7 linked regions of the Sus scrofa genome follow. The protein of the gene in region 4 purifies or fractionates together with the protein of the main gene of each other region. This does not show direct contact. Links are inferred from orthologs where the notes say so. Each region holds a gene or a part of one and is shown on either strand. Other genes may lie near its edges.

The links.
Region 1: the proteins of SRC (region 4) and KDR purify together in Homo sapiens (co-immunoprecipitation; 5 studies listed by BioGRID and IntAct, with this or other methods). This does not show direct contact. The link is inferred for Sus scrofa from reciprocal best matches to the Homo sapiens genes SRC and KDR.
Region 2: the proteins of SRC (region 4) and MET purify together in Homo sapiens (co-immunoprecipitation; 4 studies listed by BioGRID and IntAct, with this or other methods). This does not show direct contact. The link is inferred for Sus scrofa from reciprocal best matches to the Homo sapiens genes SRC and MET.
Region 3: the proteins of SRC (region 4) and ARRB1 purify together in Homo sapiens (affinity purification with western blotting; 3 studies listed by BioGRID and IntAct, with this or other methods). This does not show direct contact. The link is inferred for Sus scrofa from reciprocal best matches to the Homo sapiens genes SRC and ARRB1.
Region 5: the proteins of SRC (region 4) and PDGFRB purify together in Homo sapiens (affinity purification with western blotting; 4 studies listed by BioGRID and IntAct, with this or other methods). This does not show direct contact. The link is inferred for Sus scrofa from reciprocal best matches to the Homo sapiens genes SRC and PDGFRB.
Region 6: the proteins of SRC (region 4) and CDCP1 purify together in Homo sapiens (co-immunoprecipitation; 4 studies listed by BioGRID and IntAct, with this or other methods). This does not show direct contact. The link is inferred for Sus scrofa from reciprocal best matches to the Homo sapiens genes SRC and CDCP1.
Region 7: the proteins of SRC (region 4) and PECAM1 purify together in Homo sapiens (affinity purification with western blotting; 3 studies listed by BioGRID and IntAct, with this or other methods). This does not show direct contact. The link is inferred for Sus scrofa from reciprocal best matches to the Homo sapiens genes SRC and PECAM1.

The regions. Positions count from the first base shown.
Region 1 is NC_010450.4:41,835,868-41,839,367, forward strand, and holds part of KDR (vascular endothelial growth factor receptor 2), read right to left. Parts: intron 3,244-3,500; coding exon 3,120-3,243; intron 2,610-3,119; coding exon 2,501-2,609; intron 1,135-2,500; coding exon 793-1,134; intron 1-792. UniProt on the Homo sapiens protein: Tyrosine-protein kinase that acts as a cell-surface receptor for VEGFA, VEGFC and VEGFD. Plays an essential role in the regulation of angiogenesis, vascular development, vascular permeability, and embryonic hematopoiesis.
Region 2 is NC_010460.4:29,510,527-29,514,026, forward strand, and holds part of MET (hepatocyte growth factor receptor), read right to left. Parts: intron 2,032-3,500; 5' UTR 2,018-2,031; coding exon 815-2,017; intron 1-814. UniProt on the Homo sapiens protein: Receptor tyrosine kinase that transduces signals from the extracellular matrix into the cytoplasm by binding to hepatocyte growth factor/HGF ligand. Regulates many physiological processes including proliferation, scattering, morphogenesis and survival.
Region 3 is NC_010451.4:9,533,199-9,536,698, reverse strand, and holds part of ARRB1 (beta-arrestin-1), read left to right. Parts: intron 1-833; coding exon 834-969; intron 970-1,806; coding exon 1,807-1,891; intron 1,892-2,329; coding exon 2,330-2,402; intron 2,403-3,500. UniProt on the Homo sapiens protein: Functions in regulating agonist-mediated G-protein coupled receptor (GPCR) signaling by mediating both receptor desensitization and resensitization processes.
Region 4 is NC_010459.5:40,512,489-40,515,988, reverse strand, and holds part of SRC (proto-oncogene tyrosine-protein kinase Src), read right to left. Parts: intron 3,474-3,500; coding exon 3,375-3,473; intron 3,203-3,374; coding exon 3,099-3,202; intron 1,483-3,098; coding exon 1,333-1,482; intron 1-1,332. UniProt on the Homo sapiens protein: Non-receptor protein tyrosine kinase which is activated following engagement of many different classes of cellular receptors including immune response receptors, integrins and other adhesion receptors, receptor protein tyrosine kinases, G protein-coupled receptors as well as cytokine receptors.
Region 5 is NC_010444.4:151,190,019-151,194,123, forward strand, and holds the start of PDGFRB (platelet-derived growth factor receptor beta), read right to left. Parts: upstream 2,801-4,105; 5' UTR 2,194-2,800; intron 1-2,193. UniProt on the Homo sapiens protein: Tyrosine-protein kinase that acts as a cell-surface receptor for homodimeric PDGFB and PDGFD and for heterodimers formed by PDGFA and PDGFB, and plays an essential role in the regulation of embryonic development, cell proliferation, survival, differentiation, chemotaxis and migration.
Region 6 is NC_010455.5:28,316,566-28,320,621, forward strand, and holds the start of CDCP1 (CUB domain-containing protein 1), read right to left. Parts: upstream 2,801-4,056; 5' UTR 2,530-2,800; coding exon 2,448-2,529; intron 1-2,447. UniProt on the Homo sapiens protein: May be involved in cell adhesion and cell matrix association. May play a role in the regulation of anchorage versus migration or proliferation versus differentiation via its phosphorylation.
Region 7 is NC_010454.4:14,684,643-14,688,142, reverse strand, and holds part of PECAM1 (platelet endothelial cell adhesion molecule), read right to left. Parts: intron 2,409-3,500; coding exon 2,133-2,408; intron 1-2,132. UniProt on the Homo sapiens protein: Cell adhesion molecule which is required for leukocyte transendothelial migration (TEM) under most inflammatory conditions.

The sequences.
Region 1 (3,500 bases), on a different chromosome or scaffold from region 4:
GTTTCTCTAGGCAATTTCTCTTCACATGTGCCCTAGAAACTGGGAGGGAACACCAAGGAGAGGAGAAAAAGAAAGGGATTGGCACAGAGATAAGCTCCCTGAATTTGCCTGATTTCCCCAGAGACACAGCCTCAGCTGCACGGATTCTGTGCAAGGCACAAGGTTAGAGAAGGGTAGAGAGTGGCTTCATGCAGAATTTACAAAGCTCTCTGCTCACTCAAATGATCCTCTCGCTGACCATGAGCTGCACCCCAGAGATCCAGGTATTAAGTGTAGCAGCCCCCACCCACGGGCTCGCACAGGTCTTAGCCCCATCATCACACTCCTCAGGCAGCGGATGTCTTAACAAGTTCCTCGTAGGTGCCACTCTGTTCTACATCTGGAACTCAGCAAGGAGTAAAGCAGAAAATACTCCCTGTCCTCATGGACACAGAGACCTCACTGTACTACAACGGCCCTGTCCACTTATTCACCACTCTGGCACCCTCCTGATCGTGGTAGGCATTCCACAAATATGTGCCTATTTGCATAAATGAATGCCCAAGAATGAGGCAGAAATTTCCCTGGTTCAGGATAATCCCTTGCAGGCAACAGTGAGTGACCCCACCATCAGGATTGGAGAGAACCACTTAAGTTTCTCTTTTTAATACATCACTTCACCATGACTGGCTTCCTTCTGCTTTGAGGACTTGTGGTAAGATAAGGGCTGACAAGTCTACTTCATAAGCGCTAGAGAACAATCTTCGCACCGCACCTGAAAGTTTAAGGCATACCCCAGAATTGGCTCCCTACCTAGGACTGTGAGCTGCCTGGCCACGCAATGTCTTTTCTTGGTCTTCCTGTCCTGAGCAAAGCAGACGTAGTCTCCTTGGTCCTGCAAGGATGCATTCTGCAGTTCCATGATCAAAATGTCATTCGTGCTATTAGAGACCATGGTAGCATTCATTTTCCAAAGAGCATCCAAGTTCTTGCAAACAGGTGTGGGCAGCTCTCCCGTGTGGATCGGCAGAGCCTGTGGGTCAAGTCTGTACCACGTGAGGTTCTCAAACATAGTTCTGTCCGCGGAGCACAGCAGAGACACGGTCTCCTGCTCGGTTGGCTGGATGCTGGGTTGCAAAGTGATTTCCGGACCCCCTGAAATGTAAAACTCATGGTTAGAAGGCAGTGATTTAACTTGGGCAGAGTGCTATTGCTTTCTTGTTGCCTTTAGTCTGCAGTAAAGCACCACAAGAAATGAACCTGTAGCATTCCCAGATGATGGGATGCAAGGAAACAACCAAACTGGACAATTTGGGTTTCAAGATGCATTGTTTTACCAAAATACATTATGTGGAAGTGTAAATGAATGCCTCAAATATTTATGAACTCTTCACTTTGAGTTCTAACCATGATTTTTAAGATTTAAAAAACAAATTCAAAGCATATAATCATAACATGGGATTTAAAAAATTAATTCTGGAGTTCCCATCGTGGCACAGCGAAAACGAATGAGACTAGGAATCATGAGGTTGCAGGTTTGATCCCTGGCCTCACTCAGTGGGTTAAGAATCCAGCATTGCTATGAGCTGTGGTGTAGTTCGCAGACGTGGCTCAAATCTGGTATTGTTGTGGCTGTGATGTAGGCCAGCAGCTATAGCTCCGATTCAACCCCTAGCCTAGGAACCTCCATTTGCCACAGGTGTGGTCCTAGAAAGACAAAAAGACAAAATAAATAAATAAATAAATAAATAAATAAATCCTCAGAATTCCCATTGTGACACAGCAGAAACGAACCTGACCAGTATCCATGAGGATGCAGGTCCGATCCCTGGCCTCACTTAAAGGGTTAAGGATCCGGCATTGCCGTGAGCTGTGGTGTAGGTCACAGATGCAGCTCAGATCTGGCATTGCTGTGGCTATGGCGTAGGTCAGCAGCTGAAGCTCACATTCGACCCCTAGCCTCAGAGTTTCCATATATCACAAGTGAGGCCCAAAAAGCAAAGCTAATAATAATAATAATAATTCCTCCTTAATATAGAACACGCACTGACAAGAAAGCTATGTATATGACAATGAATTAGCCCAGACTGAAATATTTTATCCAGGTCAGTCAGGTAAAGCTCAGCCATAAAATTTAGATGAACAACAAAATCAGCATCGTTGGGAGGACACTGCTCCAAAGCTACTACAATTGCCTCCCAAACCCAAGCTCATCAACTGTTCAGCAGCAAGCCCATACGTAACTGACTGAAATTCGAAAAGCCAAGCACTGTGCTAGGCTCTGACCTCAGAGACAAATGTGTGACACAGGACTTGAGGTTCAAAGACAGGTGTGAACTCATGTTCTCTCTCCTGCGTCAGGTGCAATGATGTCACGGGAGTCCAGGAGCTGCCTGAGGCGTTCTGATTGATGAGCAAAAGCCTCAATTATCCATCCAAGTCCCCTTCCTAAAGCCATACCACTCACAGGAGGGCCCAGGGCGACAGATTATGGACAGCCCAGCCCCCCAGAAGCACTTACTGGTCACATGGAAGGAGATAACCCTCTCTCTTCTCCCGGCTTTGTTCACCGCCTCACATTTGTACAAAGCGGACACATTGGCTGCTTGGATAACAAGGGTACTTACAGTCTGTGAAAAAAAAAAAAAAACAAATCTCAGGCCATAAACAATAGAGGCTGTGTTTATGCATGTGCATTCAGACTAAAATTCAGCGTCCCCACAACTGCCGTGACCTGCCTACCCCATTCATATGCCAGCACTGACCGTGCTCAAATCTGTGCAATTATAATTATGCTGGTACAGCTCACACATCATACAAAATGAGCTTTGGAAACCAGGAAAGAACGAATGTGTTTTAATACAACATTACACACATTTTCATGTTTGCAAAATCAGAATTAGCATACAACCGATGTACTGAGTCAATGGTATATGTTTTTATTCTTCTCTGATAAGGTAGCAGGAAGATAGCTTCTAAAAGTCAATGGTTTTCAGGCTGACTTAATATGCTAGTATTTTATCATCCAACTTACCTGAGGATCAATCTCGAATATTCCTCACATATTACTTTACGCTGCTTTCGCTCCATCCTTTCATAAATGAGAGGTAGATTTTGCAATTAAAGAACTTCAGACTCACCTTGTTTTTTCCTTCAATTAGGGCAAACTGATTTTTGTTGACTTCAATTCTGTTTCCCCCTTGGAAGTCCTCCACGTTTCTCCATTCTTTACAAGTATATGGGTTTGTCGCTAGGGCAGCTTGGCTATATAAAGAAGAGGCAACAGATGATATCATAACTGAATTTTTCTTTAATTCAAATCCATAGCAAGGAAAGGCGTCAGACTTAGGTTATGATGTTCTTAGAAATAACTTCCAACCCACCCTACCACGTTACGAGACTTGGCGCCAATTAAAAATAGGTCTCGGCAACGAAGGAAAAGGTTCTAGGTAGATTCATTCAGGATACAGGAGGGAAGCAGCTATTCTGGGAACAAACCTCCATTCATAAACTGGATCGAC
Region 2 (3,500 bases), on a different chromosome or scaffold from region 4:
TCAAAGCAACAAAGAATTTCCCTAACACTTTCTGTCAAAATATCATTTCATGTAACTGCGATCATTAACCAAAAATATTTATATCTATAAATTTCAAATATCAACCAGGTTAAAAAGCACCAAATTAGAACGTGGTAGACACATGCCTATTAAAGCAGGAAGTCCATAAGTGAAGTCAAAATCTAAAGGAGAGATTTGAGAGCAAAAATTTCATATCTAGTTTTCTAATTTATTCATAGAAGTATATTAGCACACTTAAAAATGTTTTATATCTCAACATTTTAGAAGGGATTTTGTTTGTTTGCTTTTGGGTAAATTCCTTTAAGTATTGCTAAGAATATAGACCGCTTATTCATATATCAGTGAGCAAATGGGGGTCTCATAAAAAAGTCTGCAAAACCTACAAATTAACTTGAGCAACTTACTCTAAAAGTTGTAAAGATTGCATGGGATCTCAATAACTGTATTTCACAGGAACTGTTGTTGTATTAAAATTTATGTACATATTACCACAACTACTAAAACTTATATGAGAAATAAGTTTAATAATCTGAAAAATGATGGCAAACATGTAAACACAAATTGTAAAAATATTTTATATTTTCTTTTGGTAATCACATTAAATTTTTCTCAAGTTATGACTTACCTTTAAACGAAGATTCAATTTCTAAATTTTCTTGGAAAGAATTAGCAGATATTTTGGGTAAAAACCATTTACCAAGCACCAAAAAGCCTTTGATAGTCTTTTCTAGACTGATTATCAGTTCTGACTTTTACCACATAATATGTAAGTAGGGGACCTGTGGTGACTTACCCTGTTGAAGCAGTGTTCATGGTTGGGGCCATAAAAATGCTGGAGACATCTCACATTGTTTTTGTTGACAATCTTGTTGAAGAATTCATTGACATATTTCACAGGGAATGCACAGACGGCAGAGCGATTCATTGGTTCGGCAGAATCTGGCTTGCTTTGTGCAAATACCCCATAGAGAATGTCATCATTCAGGTTGGCACCTATTTGCTTAGCGAGCTGAGTCCCAGGCTTACTGACATATGCAGCTTGGAGAATATTGAACACTTCCTCCCTTGTGGATCTCTTTCTTCTCTTTTCTGTGAGAATACACTCCAGAGGCATTTCCATGTAGGAATGCAATCCAGAGTCTACAGAACAGAACCTGATTATTCTTGTGTGAAAAGTCTGAGCGTCGAGAGTTTCCCGTTGGACTGTCAAAAAGTAAATAAAATGGTTGCTTTCAAAGGCATGGACATACTTAATGGGGTAGGAATCTCGGAACTCAGGTAGAACATCAATATAGGACTGGTCTGTCAAAAACTTAAAACCATCTTGCGTTTCCTTTAGCCTTCTCACTGATATTGAATGCAATGAATGATCCGGAAGGTAAGAAGAATTTATGGTATTACCCACGAAGAAGTTGATGAACCGGTCCTTTTCAGACAGCAGGACTTTGGTTCCCAGCGCACTCACCACACAGTCAGGACACTGGCTGGGCTCTTCATCTACCTGTGGGGAGTACATGCAGTGAACCTCTGACTTGATGTCAGCGATATTATCAGGTGGAAGGACATGCCGCTGGCAGGTCCCTCTGTGGACACTGCCGCAGCTAATGAGTTGGTCATCATAATACGTGTCAACAAGCAGAGCCATGTTGATGTTATCTCTCCAAATGCCACCTGATAAATTGGCTTTGTGGCTGCAGTCCTGACATGGGAAACAATCTGGGTGTTCCAGCACGGGCCCAGTTTTGTACTCAGCAACCTTCCGAAGGTCTATGTCATTTAAAACATAAATGTAGTTAAGGGCACCCAGGTAAATGTGATGCTTGTGTAAAACGACATTCTGAATGGGTGTTTCCGCAGTGAAGTTAGGAAGCTGATATTGCATGTTCAAATTCATCGTGGACTTTACCAGTGCCTCTTTACACTCTCCCTTGCTCTTCTGCACCAAGGTAAACAGAAGCACAAGGATGCCAGGTGCAAGCACAGCAGGGGCCTTCATGGTGAGAAGTTTATCTGTCAAAACATGTTCAAGGCGAGAACAGTTTAGTTGTCACTAGAAACAGAGAAGAAACTGAAAGAACTTTACCAGTTAAATTATGAGAAATAAGTCTTCCTAACTGGAATTTTTACATTGAGTGAAAACAAAAAACTCTAGCTGGTTTCACATAAAGATGTATTGTGCAGTTGGATATGACTCTACACAGTTTAATTTTAGAACTCAACCCATGAACAAGTAATTTTAGAGACCCATTATGAGATGCAAACAATGTTCTGTATTAAGAACGATACAGCAACTAAGTTAGACTCATTCAGCAGTGAAATCAGAAACATAGCAAATTTCTTTCTTAACCCCTTGCTGGTTGTTTAATGTGGTTTAATATCTGTGGTTAATGACTAGGTTGATATTTAAACTTTCTCAGTCAAGTAAAGGAATTGTGGTGCAGATTCATTTATCCTAGAAATCACAGCAGGCATTGTTTCCTTGGGAGCATGTAGAATTACTAGGCTAAATTTAGCTTCCTTTTGGAAGAAAACAATCATAAATTCTAGAAGCAATATGATCACATGCTGTTATAGGATTTTTTTTGTGTGTGCAGAGGAAAGGTACAGTTATAATTTGGCTATAACTGACCTATTGTTTTGGATAGACAAATATTTAACTTAATGTAAGATCACTGGGAATGTAAAAACAGCAAGCTGAAAATGTATTAAATAAAATATCTTTAGGACTAAAGTCCTAGAATTATTTCTCAGGGAAAAACAACATATTGTTCATTACCAAGTCAAAAGCTATTTCGTTAAAAGAACATTATTTTTACATTCCATTGTATGCATGTGGACAGTCATTTTACTGGGAGACATGAGTGGATTTGTTATTCAGGTTTTAAAAACTTAATATGCACCTTATAACCATAGTGAGTTCTACTTATAACAGCTATAGGCTGTTGGTGGATTAGAAAGGAGACACATTAGAAGCAACAGAATTGAAATAATTATTACTTTTTTCCCTTTTAAAATGCATAATTCTGACAGGACAAAGGAATCCTCGAAAAACATACTAGGCGTTATAATTATGCCAAAGATTAACTCTAGGTCTACCAAACCACAACAGAATTCACTGAGTAACTAGTATGTACATGGCTTTGTGCTTACACTATGGAAAGTGGCAGGTGGCACTTACCTTTCAGTGAACCTATAGTGTGGTTGAGATAATATACATATGCAAATTACTATAATACACAGCATTATAATACCCTATATAGCACAAACCAAAAGCTAAAAGCCTCAAGAGAGAAAGGCATGGCTTGTACTTAGGATTACTATGATCACGATAAATACGAACAAGCCCAATATGTTGTGAGGTCCAGAAGAGAAAGGCCAATGTCTGTTTGGCTTATCATTCTATCTCAAGGACTTGACACAGAGCCTCGAACACAGTAGGTGTTTAAATTTATGTTGGATAAATGAGTGAATAAAAATTA
Region 3 (3,500 bases), on a different chromosome or scaffold from region 4:
GCGTTGTCGTAGGTACTGAGAACATAGCAGTCAACGATTTAGACAGAAACGTCTATCCTGAAAGAGCTCACGTTCTTAGGTGCCATGGGGACGCAGGAAGTGAAACATAGTCGCTTTCTTAGCATCCTGCTGGCTACCAAGACACAGAGCCACATAACGTGCTGCCACGGGATGGCTTGGCCCCTGATGTGGTAGGAGTTCAGAGCAGTTGACCTTGAGGAAGGAAGGTCAGTTGACCTCGGGGAAGGAAGCGGATGAGGGCGGAAGCTGGAAGGGGATGTTATAGGCTGGGACTGAGCGTAAGCAAAGCTTCAGAAATAGGACCAGATAGGGAGTTCCCGACGTGGCTCAGCGGTAATGAACCCAGACTAGCATCCATGAGGACGCAGGTTCTATCCCTGGCCTCGCTCAGGGGGTTAAGGATCCGGCGTTGCCGTGAGCTGTGGTGTAGGTCAAAGACATGGCTTCGATCTCATTTGCTGTGGCTGTGGTGTAGGCCGGCAGCTACAGCTCTGATTCGACCCCTCGCCTGGAGCCCTCCATAGGTCGCAGGTGCAGCCCTAAAAGAACAAAAAAAGAAAAGAAAAGGAAAGAAATAAGACAGACTATCAGGGGCGATAGTGAGAAAGTAGGGGGAGCTGGGGGACGAGACGGAGGGGCTTGAAGGGGGACCAGATGGTGTCAAGGCCACATGCCCACCTCTGGGTTTTGGACCAGGTTCCAAGGCCGCGGGAGCCATGGCAGCCTCTTAGGCCAGAGAGGGATGTGAGGGTCGCAGGGCAAGGGGTGGCGGCAGGTGACCGTGGTGTCTTCTGCTCTGCCATCCCCTCTAGGAACTCCGTGCGTCTGGTCATCCGGAAGGTGCAGTATGCCCCGGAGAGGCCCGGCCCCCAGCCCACCGCCGAGACCACCAGGCAGTTCCTCATGTCGGACAAGCCCTTGCATCTAGAGGCTTCCCTGGATAAGGAGGTAGGGGGCTCGGGCTTGGCGGGGGGTGGGGGCTCTCTCCCCGGGGCGGAAGCCTCGGATCCCAGCTCTCGGGGCCTCTGGGACTCCTCGGTAGGAGCTTCCGCCCCCAGCCTGAGGACCACAGGGCTCGGGATCTGAGACCTCCCCTGAGGGATTTGGAGAAGCCTCCTGGGGACGAAAGGGGTGGCCCTTGACTTCAGAAGTCAGAGTACCCCCAGCGGGGTCCTGGGTCCTGGCCCTCCCCCTGCACCCCCATCCTCCCTAGAAGCGTGAGCACCCTCTCTTCCTCTTGGAGTGGGGGCAGCTGAAGGCAGGCTCTTGGGCCAAGATGCGAGTCGAGGCTCTTCAAGGAGGCTTCAGAGCTGCTTCCCCGAGTGAATGGGTCAGTCCTTCCCCACCTTTCTCCAGCTTCTTTCAGACCCTCCTGAGTCTAAATTCCAGGCAGCCGGAACCAGCTGGGCTTTGATATGTCACCTGCTCCTCGTACAGGGCGGTTCCTTAGGTAACCTGTCCAAGGTCCCACCGCTCTGATCCTCATTATTTTTATTGTTACTGTTGTCATTACGCCTGGGGACCAACCCAGGACTGGAACCCAGAATGGTCACCCTTTAACTCGTCATCTTTCACGGTCCCACAAAGGCACTTAAGTCTAACATGCCTGGTGGCTTAGCATCAGTGGGAAGTGTCTGATGAAGTTGGGGCCCATGTCAGAGTGGCCAAGGCCTGGGGAACCCCAGGAGAAGTCGGGGATCGGGGGGAACCTCCTCTCCCTTTCTGTCACCTCGAGCTTTGGAATCCTCCCAACCACCCCTCTCCCTCCCTTCTCACGCCCCCCAGATCTACTACCACGGAGAGCCCATCAGCGTCAATGTCCACGTCACCAACAACACCAACAAGACGGTGAAGAAGATCAAGATCTCGGGTACCCGGGCGAGGGCCAGCCAGGGGGTGGCCAGGAGGGACTCTTCCCAGGGGTCGGGGTAGCCGAAGGCTCCTCCTTTGCTAACAGCCTTGTAAATAACTACTGGCCCGCGGGGAAGCGCAAGGCCGGCTCTAAACCAAGGGTAAGGCTTTTGCGGCTGGTAGCACCGGCCACTTATGGTCGGTAGTGAGTTTACTGCTGAAGTCCCTTCTTCCCTTAGTTCCCTGGGTTCTGGGTAGAGCGGTCCCGGAGGGGGAGATGTTTGGTTGTGGAAGAGAACGGGCACGTGGGGCTGCCCTTCGGGGAGAGGAGGGGTCCGCCTCCTGCGGAAGCGCCCGGTGGACTCTGGCTGAGGCTGAGCACCCCAACTCGGGGAGCCTGGGATGCCTGGGAGCTGCACCCTGGCTCACCCCACCTTGCTTCCCTCTTCCTCCCCAGTGCGCCAGTATGCAGACATCTGCCTTTTCAACACAGCCCAGTACAAGTGTCCGGTGGCCATGGAAGAGGCTGAGTAAGTGAAAACAAGCCCAGCTCTTGTGGGGGGGAGGGGTTGGGCGAGGAACGGAAACCACTACAGGTCCACATGGCTTTTCATCACCTGACAGAGGGCCTGGCCTCAGATGTCCTTGAGCAGACGATCCTGAACAGGCTTTTAGCAATTAGCCACTTGGTTTAGCTACACAGAAATGCATGCTGCATGCAGGCAGAAGACCAATGAAAGAGAAAAAGACAAAATAAAAGCTAGTGAATCTATGAGGATGGGTTAGGGAAAGAAGAGAATAATTACACTGTACCAGAAACCTAGATTGAAAGGTGGGACTTTGCTTTGAGCTTCCTGGCAGCCAAGGCAAAGAGAGTAAGGCAGTAGGGTCACAGCTTTTCTTGTTGGATAAAGGAATGATCCAAGTCATTGCGTAAAAAGGTTTGTGTGGGAGAGTAGAAAATAATTATACCAAACTAAATCTAGTTCGAGGAAGGATGCTGTGGTTGAGCAGGAAACTTTGTCCCAAGTTTGTTAAGGCAAGAGGAGAGTTTTTTTTTGTTTTGTTTTTTGTTTGTTTGTTTGTTTTGTTTTGTTTTTGCTTTTTAGGGCTGCACCCACGGCATGTGAAGGTCCCCAGACTAGGGGTTCAATTGGAGCTGTAGCCGCCAGCCTACACCACAGCCACAGCAACGCCAGATCTGAGCCATGCCTGTGACCTACACCACAGCTCACAGCAACCCTGGATCCTTAACCCACTGAGTGAGGCAAGGGATTGAACCTGCAACCTCATGGTTACTAGTCAGATTCCTTTCCACTGCGCCACATGGGAACTCCAAGAGGGGCGATCTTATGTGAAACATTTTTTCTCACTCAAAAGAAGTAGATGGTCCTATTAGAAGACATACCTCTTTTTTCTCCTGCCCTGCAAATAATCTTTTAGGGCAATTGCATTTCGTGTAATTTTTCATGTATGTGTGTGTTTATTTACATACAATAACAGTATTTTTGTAATCTAAAAACATTTTTAAAATGTTACTATCTGGTCTTTGAGATTGTTCTTAATACCACGTAGGAAAACAAGTGATGATTGGATCAGACATGTCCCTGTTATTGGATATTTCTTTT
Region 4 (3,500 bases):
ATCCATGATGCCCTCCAGACCAGGTGGACACACCTGTGTGTACACACCCTCCCCGACACAGGCCCATGCTGCCTCATACGCCTGCTCCCTGAGGCATTCATTCATTCATCAGACTTTAAGGGGTGGCTACCTGGGCAGGTGCCAGGGAGCCAGTGGGGGACAAGTCCAGTGGAACCCTGTCCTCAGGGAGCTCACAGTCCAGGGTGGCACCCAACTTCCCTTAATCCCCTCCCAGGATCATGAGAGTGACAGAAGGGAGCTGTGCATGCAATAGCAGGAGGGCTGGGTGGAATCCTGGAAGGCTTCCTAGAGGAAGAGGTGTCTCGGCTTAGATCTGCAGAGGATGAGCAGTTGACTAGGGAATAGGCCCTGAGGAGGAATAAGCCACAGGGTTGGAGGAGCCGAAAGGAGGCCGTGGGCTTCAGGCGAGTGAGTGGGGGAAGGAGGCCCCAGGTAAGGCAGGGAGGCCAGCTGGGTTAGACCACTTAAGGCCTCAGAGTTCCATGTGGGGGTTTCAAACTCCAAGGTCACCCCTGGAGGGTTTCGATCTGGGGGAACAGGGCTCAGAGTGAACCCAAGAGTGGTGGCCCAGGGGATGGAATGGGGTGGCAGCTCCTGGAGGGAGTTGGAGGCCCAGCTGACAAAGGAGGGGAAGCTGGCGCTCTCAGCAAAGGCCACACCTGCACGCTGAAGCCTCAGACACACAGCACCCGTGGAGATCTGCCCGCAGCGGAGCACACAGGCCACTATACGTCAGTCCTCCTGGGCAGCCCCGGACATCCACACGGCTCAGCCACATTCTTGCACACGTGGCCAGGCCCGGGCCCGCCACCTGCGCGTGAGCTCCCCGCCTGCCACGCTCTTTCCCCCTCTCTGCTTCGATCGATCTAGCCGCCCCCTCCTTGTCTCCCGGTAACCGGTTCTAACCGGTCCTAGGGCTGCAGAGACAAATGACACCAGCCTATGCCCCCTCCTTCCCGGCTCACTCCTCCAGGCAGCCCCCTCCTCACCAGACAGCTGCTGGGAAGAGAAGGAGGATGGAGGGGCGGGGGTAGGGGGAGACGGGGAGGAGGGGGCCTAGGGAGGAAAGAAGGAAGAAAGAGGGGGAGGGAGGAGGGGAATGGAAGGCGGGAGAAAGGGGAAAGGAAGAAGGGGGTGCGAGACGGGGGCCCACATCCGCAGGGTGAGAGAAGCCCTGGCCTTTGTCGGCCCCAAAGCCCCCCACCTCAGGGTCTGCAGCTCCCAGGACAGGCCAAGACTGCCCCCCATACCCTCGGAGGGCTGAGTCTCGCCCGCGCCCAGCTGGCCCCCCGGAGGCCTCCCGACACTCACTGGAGTAGTAGGCCACCAGCTGCTGCAGGCTGTTGAACTGGGTGCGTGAGGTGATGTAGAAGCCGCCGCTGTCCAGCTTGCGGATCTTGTAGTGCTTCACATTGAGGCCCTTGGCGTTGTCGAAGTCGGACACAGAGAGGCAGTAGGCGCCTGCAGGGGCGGCCAGAGAGGAGCGTGACCAGCACGCAGACACCCCTGCCGCCCCAGGCCATGGCTCTGAGTGCACCTGCCCGACACAGGAGGTGAGGGAGACCAAGGCAGAGCCAGGTCTGGTCCAGCCCGTCTCTGAGCACCCCGGCTCTGGGGTGGCCACAGGGCCAGGGCCAAGTGACAAAGGGGCACCTGACTGGTGAGCCTTTTCATGCACTCTTGGTCTTGGCAAGATGTCTGAAGCCCGGGTGTGCATCCCAGCGGTGTGTCTGGGCCTCAGTTTCCTCCTCTGTACAATGGGGCTACTCCTAGGGCTGCTGGGAAGATTCGATGAGATCACATATAAGGGGGCCTGGTACACAGCAGGTGCTCAATAAATGTTTGCAGGGAGCCTAACGGGAAAGGCCCCAAGTGGCTGTGTGTTCCTGGTCTAACTGCCTCCCATCTGCGGGTCCACCCAGGGAAGCACTGTCCATGCCCTGCCGCTTCCTGAAGACTCCAGGCTCAGGCAGGTGCCAGGGGTTGGCTGAGGCTGGGGCGGTCATGGGCAGGGGACCATGTGCTGGGTGTGGCCTGAAGGCTGCCAAGGCTAAGCTGGGCCAGCCCTGGTGGCCCCCTTACTGTTTATTGCCTTTGAGTCCACAGAACCCCTGGACGATCCTCAGGGTGGGCTTACAATCTCCAGTGTAAAGAAGGGAAAATGAGGCCCAGAGAGGGAAAGCAGCTAGCCTCAGGTCACCCAGCAAGGACTTGAACCTGTACCTAGGTCTCTACAGCCTGCATGGGACAACTATGACTTTCTGCAGATGGCCCAGGCCATGTGCATGTAGAAGCCACAGGCCTGGGTCTAAGGCCAAGCCCTGAACACATGTGCACACTCACAGCCATGCCCATGTCCAGTGGCTGCCTGTGCAGACATGTCCACACCCCCAAGGACAAACCCACAGCAATTCACTCCCACACAGCAACACACAGACAACTCCACCCCCCGTGCACACACACATGCTGGGACCCACACATGGCATGGCACGGCCACACAACTGCTCATAAATGCACACACATGACATGGATGCTCTGCTTTCCCATCTCCTACTGAGCCCCAGGCCCACAGAAGCGGGAGCTTTGTTGCCATGGTGATGGGGAAGTCTGCAACCCACTTGCAGAGGGGCTGGAGAGAAAGGGAGTGATCATTCTCTGGCAGAGGGGAGGGACTGCAGAGGAACAGAGGCCAGGACTGTTGGAGGAAGGGCAAAGCCAGGTCCCAGCACCCATTCCAGCCCCCAAGGCCCCTGGAGAAGAGGAAGGAGAGGGCCCATTGCCTCAGCACCCTCCCTGGGAATAGCTCTGTGACCATCAAACCTCCTGACGACCTGTACCTGTTCCTCATCTGAGGAACCTAAAGCCAGAGAGCTTGGCCTCTTTTGCTGCACCTCTGGCCACCCCAGATAACTCAGTGCTCCTTAAAAGTACCTCCCTGCCTTTGAGCCTGTCTTTTCTCCAGCTGGAGGGCTGTTCCCACCCGACTCCACATACCAAACTCCTATTTATTCTGCAACACCCAGATCAAATAACCCACAAAGGGCTCAGTTCCCACCGGCCAGCAGAAGCACTCATACCTTTCGTGGTTTCGCTTTCTCGCACTAAGAAGGTCCCTCTTGGGTTCTCCGCATTGAGCAGTAACCTTTCTGACTCGCGTCTGGTGATCTTGCCAAAGTACCACCTGGCGTGGGAGGAAGAAGGATGGTGCTGGTAGTCCAGGCTTCTGCCCGCCTACAGTGCCTCTTCCTGGAATTTGGCTGGGCCCGGGCAGTCAGCCTCCCACTCCAGCCCAGGAGAGCAGCTCGGACCCAGCAGTGGCAGTGAGCTAGCAGGAAGCCAGAGTTAATACTCACTCCTCAGCTTGGATGGAGTCGGAAGGTGCCACGTAGTTGCTGGGGATGTAGCCCGTCTGTCCTGTGCTGAGTGAGTGGGCCAGCCACCAGTCTCCCTCTCTGAGCAAAGGGAGAGGGAGGGAGCAA
Region 5 (4,105 bases), on a different chromosome or scaffold from region 4:
CCTCATCTACGTGCGCTCCCATCCGGCGGCTCACGGGGGAGGGCCCAGCGCCCAGAGCGGCAGAGCACCGGCCCAGGGTCGCACAGCAGCTGGGGCACAGGGGCTGCTGACTGTGCCCGGTCCTCCGAGGCCTGAGCCTGGTGTGGTCTCCCCACCATGCCCGCTGCCTTCCAGATGCGGACGCAGCAAGAAAGAGCCGTGGGGGCCTGAGGTTGGCCCCTTGGGGGTGGGGGTGGGAGTGGAGCCAGGCCCGGGCCGGGTCTCCTGACTCTGAGTCCTCCGTGCTTCCCGCTGCCCCACATCTGTGGGCAATTAGAGCCCCAGCTCCTCTTCCCGCAGGCAGGCGAGGGAGGGGCTCGCGGTCGGAGGAGGGGACGGGACGGGGCCTGAACGGGGCCCTCCTCCCTCGCCACACACCAGGCCCCGGTGGACCCGGAAGCAGGACAGGCCTGAAGCTGCCCCTTCTGGGGAAGAAGGAACAGGCCTTGTGGGGGGATGAGGGCTCGGCCCGGCCGGGTTCCGTGGGAGCAGGGGGTTACGGCCTTGGTCCCCGGCAGACCTCGGCCTAAATGCCACCTCTGCCGGCTGTGCGACCCTGGGAAAGTCGCAGCGCTGCTCTGACTCACTGGCCTCGTGCTCAAGGCAGGGCTCACGACAACACAGACGCCAAAGGCCTGCGAGGGCCCAGGGTCTGTGCCCGGCACAGGGGAGGAGGTGACAACGGGAACCAGCAGGTCCCCAGGGGCCGCAGCCTCAGGGCCCTGCTGCTCAGGGCAGGGGACGACCGCTGGACGTGAGGTGTCACTAGAAGGGCGGTCGCAGAGGCAGGGGACTCCCTCCTGGACATAGAGAAGCATCCGAAGGATCCCCGCGAGGTTCCGGGCAGGCAGCGGAAGGAGGGTGGGGGCACGCGGTCTCCAGCGAGTCCCTCCCCTCATGGCCACCCTTTCCCAGCCCCACTGCCCTCCTAGGGACACGGGGACCAGAACCCGAGACGGGGAAGCCTGGCGCCTGCCATGTCAACAGACGCGACAGCAAGGCTGCACAGAAGGGCATGGCAAGCCTTGGAAGAATGTAAACCCAGAAAGGCTGCCTGGAGGAGGCAGAGGGGGGAGGTCCCTGGAGGAGAAGGGCCGTGGTGACGAAGGGCCTGTCCACAGGCAGGGTCGCGAAAATCCCTCCTGGGATCCTGGGATCCGACTGGCAGGAACACCAAGCCCGAGCCTGGAGGGTGGGGCAGGACGCGTCCTGACTCCCCAGCTCCGCCGCCCACCAGCCACGCCGCACCACTTTGTGGCTGCTCTGAGCCTCAGTCTCCTCCCACGTAAACTGGGTACAAAACCGGACCCTGCCTCTGGAGTTGCTGGTGCGCGTTACACGGGACCGCGCGTGTACACACCACGCGAACAGCAAGTGGCCGTGGTGGCAGCCGCTGTCAGGAGCCGGGGCTTTCTACAGGCACAGAAAAGGAACCAGAGATCAGATTCGGGCTTGGGGGGAGCGGAGAAGGAGGGAGACCACCAGGAGGCCTGAGCAGCTGCCTGGGACTGGAGGAAAGCGCCCCACAGCCGATCCCCCTTTTCCAGAGAGGAACCCCCAGATCCGACGGTCGGATTCCAGACGCCCAGTCTGGGCTGCGGGACGTGACCGCCAGGACGGGCCTGCCGTGGCCCCATCGCCTTCGCACTTTCCCAGCCGCTGGGGGTTTGGAAGGACACTTTAGGAATCTGGAAAATTTGCAAATCCATTTAAATCCTGAGACGTTGCCTGGCGGCTGACTGGCCTAAAGCCAGACAGACTCTCAGGGACAAGGCTTGGGCCTGGGGACAGAGGCTGCGAGTCTGAGGTCCCTGGTCCACGCACCCTGCCAGCCATCTCCCAATTCCTCTCTCACGTCCTTCCCGCTCTCCCTGCCCCTCCCGCAGGCGGTTCTATGCTTTGGAGGCGCCCCTGCCCCACTTAGCACCCAGCAACCTCTGGGGTTTGCTTGGGGCAGGAGGCGTCCACCCCAGAAGCAGCCGGAGCAGGAGGGAGCTCGCTCCTCCGGCCCTGAGGTCGTTCACAGCCTCCTGGCCACCTCCCATCTGGTTTTGTTAAAAATATTTTCCATTTTTTGACCTACCCAACAAGGCGCAGTCTGGGACAAGGGGACAGGACCAGGGGCTGGGCTTCTCTCCTCTTTCCGGCACTTACCTTGCTGCTGATGCCTCCTGTGGTGTGGGCAGGGTCCTGGGCTCTGGCTGCCGCCCCCTCCAGGAAGACCTCCACACCGCCTACTCTCTGCTGTTACCAGAAAGACGTTGCTGGACCCGAAATGGGGCAGCAGCGGGCAGGGAGGCCGTGAGGACGGCTGCAGGCTCCCGGAGCCCCGGGAGAACCGAGGGAGTCGGGGGCTGCAGGGGTGAGGAGTGGCCTCACTCCGAAAGCATCCTTCTGGAGCAGCCGGGCTGCCAGGAAGGGCCGCCCTGGTCTGGCTGCTGCCTGGTGGCGCTGGTCAGGGGGGCCCGGCTCCCTCCTCCTAGTCCCTCCTCCTCTCGGGCTCCAAGTGGCTCACAAAACGGTCCTGGGTCCCAGACGGGGTGGGCAGGGACTGCGGGCTGCTGGCTGCCCCGGGAGCTCACACCACTGTGGGCTTGGCTGCCCCCCCACCTTGGGGGAAAGGCTGCAGGGCGGCCTCTGATTGGCTCAGCTGGGAGAAGGGGGCCGGAGCGGGGAGGGTGGACGCGTGCGTCTGTTTTCAATTTTCAGCCCCCTCTCTTCTCCCCCAAGTTTCTTGTTTTTCTTCCTCTTTCCCTCTGCTGCTCCCTCCCGTAGCCTGCTCGCTCAGGATGTGAGGGGATGTTTAGAAATTCCGCAGCCCACGCCAGCCAGCGGCTGAGTCACTTTTATTAAAGAGTGGCTGGCCCCACTCGCCTGCTGCCTGTCTCGGTGGCAGCCTCCCTTCGCCGTGGCGCCTGGGGGCGGGTCCCTGCTCTGTGCTGGGCTCTCCCGTCTGCAAAGGGAGCCCCGATAACCTACCCGGTTGACTCAGTCCCCATCGGTTCACCTGGGTGCACTTCCTGTGCTTCAGCCCCGCGCAGGGGTGGGCGGCCATCCTCGTTAGGGCGGGGGGCTGAGAGTGGAGAGTGCACGAGAGAGGGCGCTCGCCGAGGCCGGAGGGAATTGGAATGGGCTTCGCAGGAAAGGGGGACATAGACGAGGCAGAAAGCCCTTCTGAGGCCACCGGTCCCTCCTCAGAGGAAGAAGTCGAGACCCAGGCGTGAACAGCAGAGAGGGAGAGCGACCCGCCTAAGGACACCCAGCAGGCTTCCGATTCCAGGCACCTTCCTCCATCATCCCCAAACCCTGGAGTACCAGAAAGGGTTGATCCCTCATGGTCTAGACCAGGAACTATAGCCCGCAAGTGAGTGTCCCAAAGTCACAGCTACGGCGGAGCCGAGCCGGGTCTCACGCGCGACGTGATGGAGCAGAAACAGGCCATCTGAGGCCGACAGCTGGCCCTCTGCAGTGTCACCAGGCGCCCCCACCCACCTTCTTCCTGGGTCCCTCTCGCGCATTTCCGCGTCCGGCTACCTGCCCTTTCCGTGCTCCCGGCCCCTCTGCTCCTCCACGCCGAGATCCGCCAGGGTGCCTCCAGGAACCCCGGGCCTCTCACCCTCACTCCTTGAACTCTCGCGTCTCAGGTCAGAACACGTCTCTAGGCACAGACTCCTGGCCTAAGGACATCATTTGCGAACAGCTTAGAGAGGAGTTCCTGTCGCGGCCTCAGTGGAAACGAATCCGACTAGTACCCATGAGGATGTGGGTTCGATCCCTGGCCTTGCTCAGTGGGTTAAGGATCCACCGTTGCCGTGAGCGGCGGTGTAGGTGCAGACACGGCTCGGATCCCGCGTTGCTGTGGCTGTGGTGTAGGCCGCAGCTACAGCTCTGATTCGATCCCTAGCCCGGGAACCTCCATATGCTGCAGGTGGGGCCCTAAGACAAAGTAAATAAATAAATAAATAGGCTTAGAGAGTCGAGTGAAGTCACCCCCCCACCCCACTACTGTGCACACGGGGAAACGGAGCCCCAGGGAGGGAAGAGAGGCGTCCGGGCACCCAGGTAG
Region 6 (4,056 bases), on a different chromosome or scaffold from region 4:
TATTTTTGGTTTTACACACACACACACACACACACACACACACACACACGATTTGGTACCAAAATGTCCAAGGTTGTTTGCTCACAGAGGACTTCTTTTCCATGCTGGTTATATTTGTTGCCAATTTTCGTACAATACTTACAGATATATACTATTTAAAACACTGATATCATTGCTTTTAATTTCCTTTCCCCTTATTGGTAGCCAGGAAGAACCTCTGAAAGACTGTGGAGGGGGTAAAGGGTACAGTCATCATGAACAAAATAGCAGCATCTGAGGTGAACCCTGAGGCTGATGGGTCAGCACACAAGCACATCTGTACGATGAGCAGAGCAGCCGTCTGTGCCTGTGTCACACAAATCTGTGTGGGTGGGGGGAGGACTTATCCGTCCTGCCAGTTACACATTCCAGACAACAGCCACCAGCTCCTCAGTTGAATCTGAAGAATGATGAACACACACACTCACCCTGGGTGAGTGAACACATCATTTGATGTCTACTCATATTTCTGGCAAGAAACAATGGCGGCAAGAATGGGGTCATTGACCCAGACTCTGGTATCTGAGTGGTTCTTGGAAAGCTACCGTGTTGGTTTTAACAAGGTTATTTCAACTTAACCAGTCCTTTATTCTTAGAAGTGGAGGAGCTGGCAGGAATATTAAACTCAAACAAACAAACTTCACAAAGATGAAAACTTTACTTTTCATGTCTGCAGCAACACCAACTTCATTTTCACTCTGAGTCTTAAGTTCAGGGGTTTATAAAACAAATCCACTGTGCTAGGCTTTCTGGCTTTCTCCATCTTTTCAGGACAGGTCTTAATTTCTCAAAGGCCCCCAACTGGTTAGATCAACCCCAAGACTTTGGGTAAAGCACATGTACTCTATGACTGCTCCAACCACAATGGCATAACCTTCAGTTCAGCCCAGGGATGTGGCTTCACAGGTCCAGTCCCTGGGACCACAGGGAGGATTTAAAAGAGAGAAATGAGAACATTCCTAGGCTTCCTTGCATGTATACAATGAGCCAAGACACATGGTTCCAACAGTCAAGAACTTCCTGTAAGGAAGACTCCATCGGAGCCACTGGTGACCAAGAAGGCAGTCTAACAAGACCCACAGGGAGAAATCAGACATGTAACAGAAGCAGTTCAGGACCGGCTGTCTTTGTCGTTATTAGCAATGCCTTGATGCCTGATTTACACCATACTCTTAATGGAGGATTCTTAACTGTTATCACAGACAAGCAGAAACATCTCAGACAAGGCCCAGAGTTTCAAGACAGCTCCCAAGTGTAGTGAGCACGCATTTTTCTCAAACACATTTTCATGTGCTAAATCATTCCTTATTCTTAAATTTTTTTTCTCTCCAAAGAAATCCTGAAAACTCAGTCCTAAATTACAATAAATACGTACACAATATTTCCCATGTCCCATCTACTGTGCAGCAATATGTCACTGACGCTGTCGGAGAAAGGAACCAGGAAGCTTTCTGGTCTCGGATTTGTCATGATGGCAGTTACCGGAACGCCCAAGTTCACCTCAACCGCTTAGTCGGATTTTTTAATTTACTCTAATTTACCTGCCTGCCAAACACAAACGCCCCCTTAGTTGCAGCGAAGGGTAATCGAAGACCGAAACTGCTTCTTGGATAGCTCTTTAAAAACCACAGAACCTGTACTAGTCTCAGGAAAGACCTCAAATCAAACTCTTACATGGAGACACCAGGTTATTTACAGTGCTAACACTTCCAGGGCCCGCAGGGCACCTCCGCGCTGGCCCGGGCAGCTGGGATGTGGCGGTTCCTGCCCCCACCGGAACTGGGAATTCGCACCCCACCCAGGACCGCCCCCTGCCGACCCCCTTCCGCCTTCAGGGTCCTTCACCCACAGGAGCAAGGGGTCCGGGGGCGGGGGGGGCCCTAGAGACTCCGCGGCCTAGAAGCGCTTTCATTTTGTAATTAATGTTCCTGAACTTGGGGAGAGCGAGAAAGGCGCGTGCGGACCGGGGAAAAGGTGAGATAAAAGGTGGGATATCGTGGCGACAAACTACTGTTTTTCTCACACCTTCTTCTCTGGCCCAGGAGCTGAGGTAGAAGGTGCGCCGGAGAGGGAGGTTACCTCCTCACGCCCGGCCGGCGCCACCAATAATCCAGGTAAAGCCACCTCAGCTAGGTCTCGGGGGCTCGGCTTCCGCGCGCCCTTCTTTCCTCCTTCTCGGTCTGCGCCCGGATCTCACGTCCACGACCGCGGGGCTCCCGGTTTGGTACACCAACACGTGCCACGGCCTGCGCCCTGTACGAGGTCGCGCGCAATCCAGGAGGGCACGGCCACCGCGCCCGACGCGGCGCGCCCAGCAACCGCGCGGTCCCGGACACCCGGTCACCCCGACTGCGCCGTCCTCGCGCCCCCTGTCCCCTTCGGCGCCCCTCCCCCGGCCCCGCACTCACCCACTCCGCTGGACAGACGCGAAGCACTCAGCAGCAGAACCCCTAGCACTGCGACCGTGACCCCAAAGTTCAGGCCGGCCATGGCTGCGGGGCGCCTCCGCCGCGGCGGGGAAAGCGACTGTGGCGGGTGGTTAGGAGCAGCGGCAGCGGGCGCCCGAGCCTGGCACCCGCTGCGCTCGCCCCGCCCAGGCTCGCTCACCTGCGCGAGGGCGGACTGGCTCCGGCCCCGCCCAGCGCCGCCAGAGCACCGGTTGGCTGGGTCAGCCCTCTCTGTCCTCCTCCCCTTCCTGCCTCCGCACCCGCCTCTCTCGCCCAGAGCGCTGGGGCCGGTGGCCACCTTCTCTAGCCCCGTCGCCCTCCCTCTCTAGGCCGAGAGTGATCAAGTCCATTCACAGGCGCGAAGGTCGCCCCTGGGGAATCCACTCCGACTCCTTTCACTGTCCAGCACACCGAGGAGGCCACTGTGCGGCCCATTTTTCAGAGGAATGAGGTCTGTGGATCACCCAAGCCCTGGCTTCCGTCTCTGCTTCCTGACCGGCTGGAGCCTCGTTGGACTTTAAAGCCAGCCGTTCGTTGCTCCAGCTACTCTTCGCAGGACTATGAGCCTGCATTCTGCTCCAGGCACTTCATCCGCAGTACTTTTTTTTTTTTTTTTTTTTAATCTTTTTAGGGTGCGTCTGCGGCACATGGAAATTCCAGGCTAGGGGTCTAATTGGAGCTACAGCTGCTGACCTACACCGCAGCCACAGCAACGCAGAATCCGAGCCTCTTCTGCGCCGTACACCACAGCTCCTGGCAATGCCGGATCCTTAATTCGCTGAGTGAGGCCAGGGATTGAACCTGCGTCCTCATGGATACTTGTCACATTCGTTTCTGGTGAGCCATGAAGGGAACTCCTCATCCGCAGTATTTCTAATTTTCATGGCATCCCTTCCACATAACAGATGAAGCAGACCTAATGAGTTACGCAACCTGCCCAAGGTCACTAGGTTAGTTAGTAATTTATGGAGGCAGGAAGGGGTTTCCACAAACGAGGTTACTTTATTACATTTTTGGAGAGCGAATGGATGAGTGAATAAATGCATGAGTCTGGAAAGGTCCAAGAGAAGAAACCAGAACAGACCCACAGGAACCGCTTCCTTGAGTTGTGGATAGTGTATACTGGATGGGCTTGAGGCATTCACATCAACCATTGTGCTGTAAATCAGTGGTTCTGGGCATCTTTCCCTCCTCCTAGCTGCAGGTGTGCCACCTTTCTCTGGTTTCCCAGGTTCTGTGGATTCTCTGCACCACATACCAAGTCCTGAGTCACAGGGCCAAACAGAGAGGCTATGGATGGTTCAGGGACTCTCAACCAGCAGACCAATGATTCCAAGCCCCGGGGGGGTGGTGCCTGTACCAGTGGGCAGTCAGGAGGCTGGGCCAAGGTCACCCAGAACAATCTGGAAGCAGAGCCCATGTAAGAGCATTAGTTAACAGTCCAGCTCCCACTTTTGTTTGATTCTTAGGGGAACTGAGCTTATCCAGGATACTCCTACCTACTTTCATTGGGAACAGGGATGAGAAACCATCTCTTAGGAGCTTCTTCCTCTTCCTTCTACGTGTCTTC
Region 7 (3,500 bases), on a different chromosome or scaffold from region 4:
AGCAGAGGAGGGAGACAGCAGTGGAAAAGAAACAGTCTTTAATTACCCTCTAGAAGGGTTTAAGTCTAGAGGGGATTCAGGTAGTGTTTGCAGTAGAGCCCATAGAGGTAACCTTGAACCCAGGCTCGAAGAATCAGGAAAGAAGCCTTGGAGGTCGTTATTCAGGCAATGAGGGAAAGTGGCACAGGGCGGGGGCAGCCTACGGAAGGCCTGGCAGGAGGTTCAAGCACCTGAACGTTCAGGGGTTCCTTTCGTGGTGCAGCGGAAATGAATCTGACTAGGAACCACAAGGTTGAGGGTTTGATCCCTGGCCTTGCTCAGTGGGTTGAGGATCCGGTGTTGCTGTGCACTGTGGTGTAGGTCGCAGACACAGCTGGGATCCCACGTTGCTGTGGCTATGGTCTAGGCCAGCAGCTGTAGCTCCGATTTGACCCCTAGCCTGGGAACCTCCATGTGCCACGTGTGCGGCTCTAAAAAGGAAAAAAAATTAAAAAACAAACAACAACAACAAAAAAACTAAATTGCTAGCAGGATCCGACCTGGTGTAGACCAGCTGGATCCATCACATGCCAGTCACCCAGCTGGGTCATTGGCAGCCTACCTATGACACTGGGGATTGTCCCTGTGACCATATACTCAATGCTTAACACGGGGGAGGCTTTCAGTAAACGAGTGAATCCATGATGAATGAATGAACACTTTCATTGGGGAACCAAAAGTGCTGATTCTCTCTGTCCTCTGAAACACCGTCGTCCAATGCTCATCCATCCACCCAGGAAATATGTACTGAATTCCTACTAAGTGCAGACACCTGTGCTCCAGGTGTTAAGGATATAGCCCTGGATAAAAGAGATAATGCCCCTGCCCTTATCGGCTTACTTTTTTTTGTGTGTGGTTCTATTTCTGGATTTTTTTTTTTTTATTTCCCCACTGTACAGCAAGAGGGTCAGGTTATCCTTACATGTATACATTACAATCACATTTTTTCCCCCACCCTTTGTTCTGTTATCGGCTTACTTTTGAGGGCCGCATACAGACAATACACAGGAGGAGGTAGAGTACGTTTTTTTGTGATAAGTGCTGTGTTGAAAAGTAAAGCCAGGTAAAGGAGGAAGGCGTTCAAGGGAACTTGCAAGTACGAGGGCTTGGAAATCTAACAGGCTCTGGGGGTGACTCTTGCTCTGCCACTTGGTAACCCTGCAATTGTTGGGTTCTTCTCAGCTTCAGTTTCCACATCCCTAAAACCAGATTCATAATACCTACGTTCTTACAGAGTTGAGTTTGAAATGAAAATGTATGTAAACCAGGCATATAGTGTTCCACAAAGAGGATCTATTACTATGATTTTTGAGTTTAGTAATGCTTTCTTTCTTTCTTTCTTTTTTTTTTTTTTTTTGTCTTGTCTTTTTAGGGCCGCATCTGTGGCATATGGATGTTCCCAGGCTAGGGGTCCAATTGGAACTGTAGCCGCTGGCCTCCACCAGAGCCACAGCGACTTGGGATCCACACCGCGTCTGTGACCTACACCACAGCTCACGGCAACGCTGGATCCTTAACCCACTGAGTGAGGCCAGGGGTGGAACCTGCATCCTCATGGATCCTAGGCGGGTTCACTAACCACTGAGCCACGATGGGAACTCCTAGTAATGCTTTCTCACTCCTGACCCTGCCATGGGGCCCGAAATGGGATGGAGGGATCCGGACAGTACTTGGCACAGAGGAAAGAGAACTGTGACATAATAACAGAAACATCAGATAACCATCACTGAGGGCTTACTCTGTATGAGGCTCTTTGTGGCACAGTGATGCCATTCAGCCCCTGTGACAGTCCTACAGTGGTGTCATTACCCCCATCTCAGAGTTGTGACAAGGAGAGGGTCAGTAACTCACCCAAGGTCACTGAGTGGCCAGGCTGGCCACTGAGGCCACAGCCTGCACCTGCTACCACCACAGCTAACTGCTTACTTGCTCTGCACTGACTTTTCCCCACGAGCGCCCCAGCCCGGCCCAGGCACATCCCTTCAGGCCAACAGGAGCAGAAGTATCTCTCAGCTCTCACTGCCCACCCGGGATTGCAGCACAGCGGCTTCTGCAGCCCGCCGTAGGCCGACACCCTCCAGCGGCAGCCTCACCTGTTATGTTGACCATGATGCTGCTGACTTTGGAAATGCGGCTGGCTTCCACTTTGCACGTGTAGTTGCTGTTGTGCTCCACCGTGGCCATCACTGAGTACACGGCCTCGCTGCCGTTCCTGCTGTGCGCCACGATCTCCTTGTCCTTCTGGATTATGATTTCCGGGAATGACTGGGCCTGGTGTGTCACTTGAATGGTGCACTTGATGAGGAGCTGATCCCCTTCTATGATCACTCCCTTGGGGCTGATGTGGAACTTGGGATTAGAGAAGGATTCTACGGGAAGAGGACAAGCTGGTTGGACTCAGGTTCAGACCTGCGGGAGGGAAAAAGCACGTCCTCCCGCTTTCTCTTCTTTTGGATGTCAACCAGTTTTTCCTTATTAATTAAAAAGACTCAACCTTCCCTCTCAAAAACCTTCATGGGCGGCTCCAAGGCTCCCCCCTCTTCTTGCTCACTCTTGCATCCTCGGCCTTCTTTTTAACTTCAATGCTCTCTTTCTTGAGCTTCCCAAAGACCAAACCATCTTCCCTAGACCTTCTTCAAATGACCTCAGAAATAATCACAGCAGTCGAAACAGACTCTTTCCCTGCCACACATCAAGGATTTTCTAGGTAATTCTCACACCGTTCCATGGACTCTCTGGCATTTCAGCCTAGATATTCTATAGCTTTCCAGAGTGCAGCTTCATGGAAATGCATATTTAAATGATCACATGCCTCCCAAAGTGATTTCTAGTCTATTCTATCTCTTTTTAAAAAATACTGGTTATGGGAGTTCCTGTTGTGGCTCACCAGGTTAAGAATCTGACTAGTATCTGTGAGGACACAGGTTCGATCCCTGGTCTTGCTCAGTGGGTTAAGGATCCGGCGTTGCTGTGACCTGTGCTGTAGGCCGGCAGCCACAGCTCTGATTTGACCCCTAGCCTGGGAACGTCCATAGGCTGTGGGTGCTTTAAAAAGCAAACAAAACAAAACGAAATAACTGGTTATAATTGACTAAACTGATTTCATGATTCACGTGGTTTGAAAAACCGTTTTAATAAAATATGGGCCAGATATCAGGGTGTGGATCTTCAGCGGATGTGAGGGAAGTAGGGCTAGGCCTTTGTGCTTGCCAAAAAAACAGCAGAGCGTATGAGAGTATATACACAAATTACAATCATGTAAAATACAGATAAGGACATTAAAAAATGTCAAAGTGAATATAGAGTGATACAATATTTAATATTCTTTTTAAACTGTAAATCACTTAAATTCACAATAAAAAATTATCATTTTTTTAAAAAGTCTGTTTTCCTGCGTAAAGGTCATAAAAAAGAAAGGGCATCTTTTAGGATACTCTGGGGTACCTTAATAACTAAAGGTT